Cricetulus griseus: one gene and its partner. Each later gene encodes a partner of the first gene's protein in a complex. Links are inferred from orthologs where the notes say so. Each region holds a gene or a part of one and is shown in the gene's direction. Other genes may lie near its edges.

Region 1 (3,914 bases):
AGGGCAGAGGCTCCGGGCCCGGGGGAGGGGAGCGGCAGACGCCGAGGCGGGCGCGCAAGGCGGGCGGCGGCGAGCAGCGCAGGCGGGGGCTCAGGAGGCCGGGCAGCCAGGGGGGATCCCGAGAGTCCATGAAGTCCCCCCGGGGCGCGGGCGCTGGCTTGGGGGCTGTCGGGGGGCCCCGACATTCATGGCCAGGCGGGGGGCCGCGGCGGCGTGCTCCGAGTAAGTCGGGGTTTGGGGGGGTCGGGCGCGTGGGGGCGCCGGACGGGCCGCAGGGACTCGGGGCCCGGCCAGGGCGGGCCCGGCCCGGCCGCTCGGTCTCGGTGTCAGTCTGCGGCGCCTCCTCGGAGCCCGCGGCCGCTCAGTCGGTGGCTTTTTTGGAAACTCGCAAATGTTTTCGTAGAGGAGGGGAGGGGGAAGCGAGGGAGTGACCGAAACCGAGCTTGGGGCGGCTGGAACGGCAGAGGCCAAGGCCGGGGAGGAGGGGGGTGTCGGGGGCGGGGGGCGCTAGCCAGAGACGGACGGACAAGCAGACAGGCTGCCCCCACGTCGGGGCCGCAGAGCAAGCGCTCGTGCCGCTCGGGCGCACGCGGCGCGGGTTCGGAGGACGGGACTTGGGGCGCAGGCAGGAGGTGCCTGCCCAGGGCCTGGGGGGGTCCAGACCGGGCTGGGGAGCCGGGCCGCAGTGCCGCCGGGGAGCCCCGAGCTGGGGACAGGAACACCGAAGGGCTCAGCGCCGTTGCAAAAGTCGGGATGGCATCCCGGAGTTGCACGCCCCGCGCAACTCAGAACGCGCCCCCTGCCCCGCCCCGCCCCAGCTCCCCTGTTGCCCACTGCCGCGGAGCTAAAAATAACAGCCTGGTCGCCCCCCGCAGACCGCGACCCCGACCCCTCCCCCGCCCCTCCCACTGGGCGTGGAGCGAAGCCACGGCTCCCAGTTCCCCAAAAGAGGGGGGAAAAAGACAGAGAGAAAGAAAGAAAAGGCGGCGCGGGAGGGGAGCGGGGGGCGGGCCGGGGGCGGGGGGCCCAGCCATATGGATGTGATTTCTCCGCTCCGAGGCAGACAGGCCGCTCAGCAGCGCTCGGCGCCCGCCCGCCGCCCGCCCGGCCTTAGGCTGCCTCCCTCCCTCCGCCCTCCCTCTCTCCATTGCGCCGGTTGGTTCTCTCGCTCGCCCTCGGCGTATGGGCCCCGCACCGGGCTCCGGGGCCTCGGGCCGCCCGGACGCCGGGGTCCCCTAGGACGGGGTGTGGGCGGGGCGGCCCGGCCTGACACAGCTCTGCACCTTCCAACCATCACCAGGGCCGGCGGCGGCTGCCCCGAGGGACGCGGCCCTAGGCGGTGGCGATGGGGGCCGCCCGGATCGCACCCGGCCTGGCGCTCCTGCTCTGCTGCCCAGTGCTCAGCTCCGCATATGCGCTGGTAAGTCCCTCTCGGTCTACACTCAAACACAGGAATCCTGGAGTTGCTCTGGGATCCCTGGGGAGAGTGTAGGCGCAAAGTCGTGGGTTCTCCTAATAGTCTGAACTTTGGGATGCTGCCCCTGCTCTGAACCAGGAATCCTGGTGCCTGCTCTCGTTGGGGTGTCTTACCGTAGGTTCCAGATGTCTGAAGTTTCCCCGCTTCTGAAGACTTGGCTTGGGGTCCTGGGTCTGGAAATCTGTGGTTGGAGTTTCCCTACGCCGTGCTTCTGTGAGCACACGGCTCTGGTCGTATGTATCTCTTTCGATGGTGACAGTGTGATCCAGAGGGCTCTGGGTGTGGAGTCCCACAGACTGCGTTGGGGGCCTCTGCTTTCGCAAGTTTTGTTTGCACCCCGTGCTCAAAGCTGTGTGCAAGAAGTCAGAAAAATCACATAGACTGAGGATAGGGTTTAGAACCCCCTCCAACTCTGGGGATCCCACAAATAGACAGATTATGCGCTAATGGGACAGCTTTACCCCAAGTAGAAGTCGTTTGCCCAGGGAGGTGGGTGTGGTGTGGTATGGAAGTCCCCTGAAAGACCTCCCCCCCAGTACACCTGTGAGATACGTGCTGGAGAGTGGGCTGATCTTTGGGGATACTGTGCATGGCCTCGGAATGGAGACCAAGAGATAGAAAAGAGGGCTAGAGAGAGACAGACAAAGGGTAAGGATGAGAGCTCTCGACTCCAGCAGGGACAGACTCAGAACAGCAAAGACAAATAGATGAGGGCTGGAGACACTGAGGGAGATCATGACCCGTCTTGGGCTAGGGTCTGGGAGCCATTTCTCTGAGAGGGGAGATTTTCCATCCTCTCATATTCGCAGCAGTCCTACCAAAGTATCCAGCCCATTCCTGAATCAGCTTTTGTGCCTGACTTTAAGGTCTTGTTGCCCCCTTACCCCAACCCTGATCCAGCTCTAGAAAGACAGGGCAAGCAGCTTCCTCCACAGAACAGAGCCTTGAATCCGAGGACACAAGAGCTCTGGGACCCCTCCAGCTCAGCCTACAGCTTAGTGACCTTGGACTGCCTTTCCCCACACCTCAGTTGCCCATCTGTGAAGAGAGCATGAGAGACGTTTCCTAACATCCTTGTATTTGATGTTCTCCTTCTGTGGTCCCCGGCACTCTATTATCAGGGCCCATACCCTCCCAATTCTAGTCCAGTAATGGATTTCCAAAACCAAAGACTACCCCAGAAAGGAACTTGTACACAGGGAAACAAGTTCAGAGGGCCCAGCTTTGCTGTTCCGGAAGATGCTCCAAGCACGGGCAGCAGAGCTGTTTGCTGAATTTCCCTTGGTGACTTCTGTGTGTGTACACATACGTGTGCATGGTGTAGACTGGCTGATGGATAAGGTGTCCTGAGTGTGTGCCTGTATGGCCATCCGAGTAGGGCTTTGTGGGCATCTGGGTCGGTCTGTGGGATTGTGGGTATTCAAGTCCATATGTGCCTGGAACTGTGGATCTGCACAGGACTCTGAGGGCAAAAGCACAGTTGTTTGCGTATGTACGCGTGCGCATATATGAGTGTGAGTGTGTGCACACAGGCCTTTCTTTACTTGTACTCAACAAATGCTTTTGTGTTTTTTGTTTGCCAGTCCATTGTTCTATACACTTTGCGCAGATCAGCTAGTTTAATCCTACCAGCCACCCTCTGAGAAAGGTATTTTCCCTATTTTTTATTAACTCATCCAGTCCCCTGTGAGCATTATCTATCTTATGTTAACCAGGTTCCAGGCCCTGTGCCTCACTGTGTGTGGCGGTACAGAGCCCCTAGAACTCCTCAAAGCTCTAACTGAAAGCAGAAGGGCAGATGCCTGTGTGGCTCTGCAGGGTCCTTGCTGGGACATATCAGTGCACTGGACCATCTCCTGCTTCAGGTCTAAGGGGTGTAGTCCAGGGGACAGGTTTGGCCAACCCACCCACCCACCACTCTGTGGGATCCCTGGGCTTAGCTGGAGTCAGCAAACACCTGGCAGCCTGCCCATTCTCTCCTCTAAGCCTGGGAGCTGCTTCTGTGTCCAGATGTGTACAGGTGTGGACAAAGCCCATCCACCTCAGCTGTCACCAAACCTACAGACTTACCTACTCAGCTAGATCCAAGCCAGGCTCACTTCTCTGGTGACCTTGGTTGAGGTCCCAAAGAGCGTCCCACTGGGAGAACAATGACCACAGCTGGACTGGGCTGGTTCATCTGTGCCCCACAAAGAAGAGTAGACCAGAGATGAGCATTGAAGGAGTGAAGTTTAAAGGAGGGGATAGGCTCACAGCAGATGAACAGGCAAAAGGAGGCTCTTATCCTTTGCGATTTCTTACCCTAAGAACACCCTAGAGAACCCTCAGCTCACATGAATGTGACGGTCAGCAGGGAAGCAGGCCTGGGTGTGGGGTATGACCCTTGGATAGGAGGGCTCCACAGAGAACTGTAGTCTCTTGGGCAGGTTGTGCAGGC
Region 2 (3,914 bases), on another chromosome or scaffold:
CCACATTTTAAACAGCTATTTAATACTCCATTGTGTATATGTATCACATTTTATTTATCCATTCTTTGGTTGAAGAACATCTGGGTTTCCAGTTTCCGGCTACTATGAATAACAGTGTTATGAACATAGTTGAACAAGTGTCTTTGTAGTAGGACAGAACATCTTTTGGGCATATGCCCAAGAGTGGTATAGCTGGGTCTTGTGATAGATCAATTCCCAATTTTCTGAGAAACTGCTATATTGATTTCCAAAGTGGCTTTATAAGTTTGCACTCCCACCAGCAGGGGAGGAGTGATATCCTTGCACCACATCCTCACCAGCATATGCTGTCACTTGTGTTTCTGACAGGTGTAAAATAGAATCTCAAAGTAGTTTTGATTTGCATTTTCTTATGGCTAAGGGTGTTGAAACATTTCTTTACGTGTTTCTCAGCCATTTGAGATTTCTCTATTGAGAATTCTGTTTAGATACGTACCCCATTTAATTGGATTATTTTGTTTATTGATGTTTAGTTTCTTGAGTTCTTTATATATTTTGGATATTAGCCCTCTATCACACACAGAGTAATAAAAATCTTTTCCTATTCTGTAGGCTGCTCTTTTGTCCTATTGGTGGTGTCCTTTGCCTTGCAGAAGCTTTTCAGTTTCCTGGAGTCCCATTTATTAATTATTGATCTTAGTACCTACACTACCAGTGGCTGGCTTTTCTATGGGTTCTGAGAACTGAACTCAGGTCCTCCCACTTGTACTTGTTCAATGAACCATCAATTCATCTCCCTTATATATATATCAAATATACATAAAAATATTTTTGGAAAGCTGATCAAAGATGATATGAATTGGTTGGAAATGGCTTGTAAAAAGCATGCTATATGATTTCTTAAGGAAATAAGTGTATTTATTTATAATGTGCTATAACAAATAACAAATACAGTTTAGGCTGTATTTTTAAATACTGGAATAACTTTATCATAAATATTTGAAAGGCCTGGTGGCAAATGTCTTTAATCCCAGTACTCATGAAGCAGAGGCAAGGTATTTCAGGCCAGCCAGGATTACATTCATGAGACTCTGTCTCAAACATTTAATATATATATATATATTCAATATCATCAATTATGTCAGAATTTTCTAGGTGGTGTGATCGGTATTTGCAGCAACTCCCTTTGTAGGTTCTTTATTCAGCACCTTGCTCTTTATCTTCTATTATCTAATTATCTGAAACTTTAGAGGAGTAGGCACCGCCCAATGAGGGTATGTGGCTGCTCTGGTCCTATGGTTGAGATCCAAAGAACTGGGAGTGACATCATATTTAACAATAAAATGCTCCTCTTGGTGAGCAAAAGCCTACATAAGAAATGCAGATCTGAGGAGCTGCAGTCCAGTTCATCCGCTGTCTCATTCTCTCCAGCTTAATACAGCACCAGTTGGTGGCACTCCTAAAGGATCCTCTCTGAAGTCTTTGTATGGTAAGGAGTCTCTCAATTGGCCTTCCAGATTCTGTGAGATTTTGATAATTGAACAAGGTTTTAATGCATACCATTTTCTACCAATATTATGTTATTTTCCATTGTAAAATGTTAAGGGGAGGTTAATTTTGCTAAATATAAAATGTAGCAATAAAATATATTTTTTATGGTAAGAAAGTCATGAATCCTATATTTTTATGATGAAAACTTCTTTGAATACCTTTTTTTTTAAACCACCTGAAAGTACAGAAAATTGATGATACTCTTTAGTGATCTCCTTATTATGATTCAAAAATTTGGAATAAAAAACCGGCTGGTGGAGAGACAATAATTCTGATGTAAAAAGTCAACAATAATTTACCATGTGGAGTATATTATTTTCCTGTAGGGTATACGTATCTATATTTTAAATTTCATGGATTCTAAGGAGCTTAGCCTTTTACTAAGGTTGCATTCTTTTCACTGTTGAATAGTCATTCCTTTTACACAAAGAACAGCATTTTCTAATCTTTGTGTAGACATTTAAGGATGCTTTATGGTGATTTAAGCTCTTTTCATGGCATCCCTATATAAGAAGTCCATCTTCCTCAAAAGAACAAGAAATGAAGCAGAGATATCACTAGGTCGCCTGAACTGATGTGACCAGACACCCATGCTCCTGTTCACCAGCTACAGTGCTTGTGACTGAGCCCCGATTTTCCTTTATTATTCCACTGATAGCTGTGCAGTGCACAGGGAGGAGAAATGTTGCAGACTGTAAGGTCTCTTATGCTACTTTAGAACTAGAAGTTATACTAAACCATAACTGCTAAGTTGAAGCTATAAGATGCAGACAGTCATTTTATTAAGGGTCAAAGCTCCAAGAACAATATGTAAGAAATTAATTGGTTTTTAAATGCCTTGACACATACTTTCTGTGTGTGTGTGTGTGTGTGTGTGTGTGTGTGTGTGTGTGTGTGTGTGCGTGTGCGCACGCGTGTGTAATCACACAGGTGTGAATATGTATGTGCATGTGAAGGCCAGAGGCCAATGTTGGATATCTTCCTCTATCATTTTCCACCTATTTTTTTTAAGACTTTCCCAATGCTAAGGTTCCAGGTACAGTGCTGCTGTACCCAAAAATTTTATATGGGTGCTGGGTCTGAACTCAGGTTCATGCTTGTACAGCAAGAACTTTACTAATTGAGCATGACACATGTTTTTTTTTCATTGTGAGAAGTATGTACATTATTAACACAATAAAGATATCAAAATTAAACCTTATAGTTAGACATGATGGTGAATGCCTGAAACCCTAATGTGCCAGAGACCAAGCAGGAAGATCATAATTTGAAGGCTAGCCTGAGCTACATAGCAAGATTTTATCTCAAAAGTAAAAATAAAACTCTACAAATTTATGGTTATTATGATAGCATCTGAAAATAATTTTCATAATCTTGATTATGAAAACAGTGTCTGATCACTAAATAGTGATAATTTACCTAATTAGTAGATTAATGAATTTCAGGCCTATTATAAACACTTAGGCCAGGCGTTGGTGGTGCACGCTTTTAATCCCAGCACTTGGGAGGCAGAGGTAGGCAGATCTCTGTGAGTTCAAGGCCAGCCTGGTCTCCAGAGCAAGTGCCAGGATAGGCTCCAAAGCTACACAGAAAAACCCTGTCTCGAAAAACCAAACAAAACAAAACAAAACAAAACCACTTAGGCATAGCCAACATAAATAATAGGAAGAAATCATAAAAATGCTCTTTATTCATCATGTGTTTTAAATTTCATATTAAAATTTGAACAAGAAATTCAGAAAGCTACCTAAGAAAATCATGTATCCAATTTCCCTAAGTTATGTGTGCATGTTATATTACTAATGTATCCATCATATGAAGAGGCTTATTCCAAAGACTCAGGAAAAACAGCTCAATTGATCAGTGTGATGTCAGCTAACTGCTGATTGCTTAGGTGGTTATAAAGAACAACTACTAGGACTTTAGCACACTGACGGTATTTTAAACCATCTCAATGTTGTTTCTCCTTTCAGTAAAGATGATGTCTGCAAAAGCCATGGCTAAAGTAACGATCATCATGCTGGCACTTTGTCTTCTTACCCAAACAGATGGGAAACCTATTAAGTAAGTGCTTCAGCCCACTCTGCACTGGGAAGATGTGGACCTGAGGTTTTGTAGTAGGGTTTTAGGACGGGGACATGGGGAACTAATGGCTCTTTCTTTCTGCTCTTTCTAGGAAGAGAGCTGTCAGTGAAATACAACTTATGCACAACCTGGGCAAACACCTGGCCTCTATGGAGAGGATGCAATGGCTGAGAAAGAAGCTGCAAGATGTACACAATTTTGTTAGCCTTGGAGTTCAAATGGCTGCCCGAGACAGTAGTTACCAGAGGCCCACCAAGAAGGAGGAAAATGTCCTTGTTGATGGCGATGCAAAAAGTCTT

The links.
Region 2: the proteins of Pth1r (region 1) and Pth are in contact, whole or in part, in a cryo-EM structure (PDB 9JR3), measured with the Homo sapiens proteins. The link is inferred for Cricetulus griseus from reciprocal best matches to the Homo sapiens genes PTH1R and PTH. Residues at the interface, in NP_000307.1 of Homo sapiens: Val31, Met32, Thr33, Lys34, Glu35, Gln37, Ile38, Leu41, Glu111, Trp112, Asp113, His114, Ile115, Ile135, Tyr136, Asp137, Phe138, Arg146, Arg162, Thr163, Ala165, Tyr167, Val171, Leu174, Thr175, Glu177, Glu180, Arg181, Phe184, Leu187; in NP_000306.1 of Homo sapiens: Ser32, Val33, Ser34, Glu35, Ile36, Gln37, Leu38, Met39, His40, Asn41, Leu42, Gly43, Lys44, His45, Leu46, Asn47, Glu50, Arg51, Val52, Glu53, Trp54, Leu55, Arg56, Lys58, Leu59, Asp61, Val62, His63, Asn64, Phe65.

The regions. Positions count from the first base shown.
Region 1 is NC_048597.1:218,233,859-218,237,772, reverse strand, and holds the start of Pth1r (parathyroid hormone/parathyroid hormone-related peptide receptor), read left to right. Parts: upstream 1-1,345; coding exon 1,346-1,420; intron 1,421-1,590; exon of another isoform or gene 1,591-1,820; intron 1,821-3,914.
Region 2 is NC_048596.1:87,293,360-87,297,273, forward strand, and holds the start of Pth (parathyroid hormone), read left to right. Parts: upstream 1-1,247; coding exon 1,248-1,334; intron 1,335-1,856; coding exon 1,857-1,857; intron 1,858-3,503; coding exon 3,504-3,594; intron 3,595-3,706; coding exon 3,707-3,914. UniProt on the Homo sapiens protein: Parathyroid hormone elevates calcium level by dissolving the salts in bone and preventing their renal excretion. Acts by binding to its receptor, PTH1R, activating G protein-coupled receptor signaling.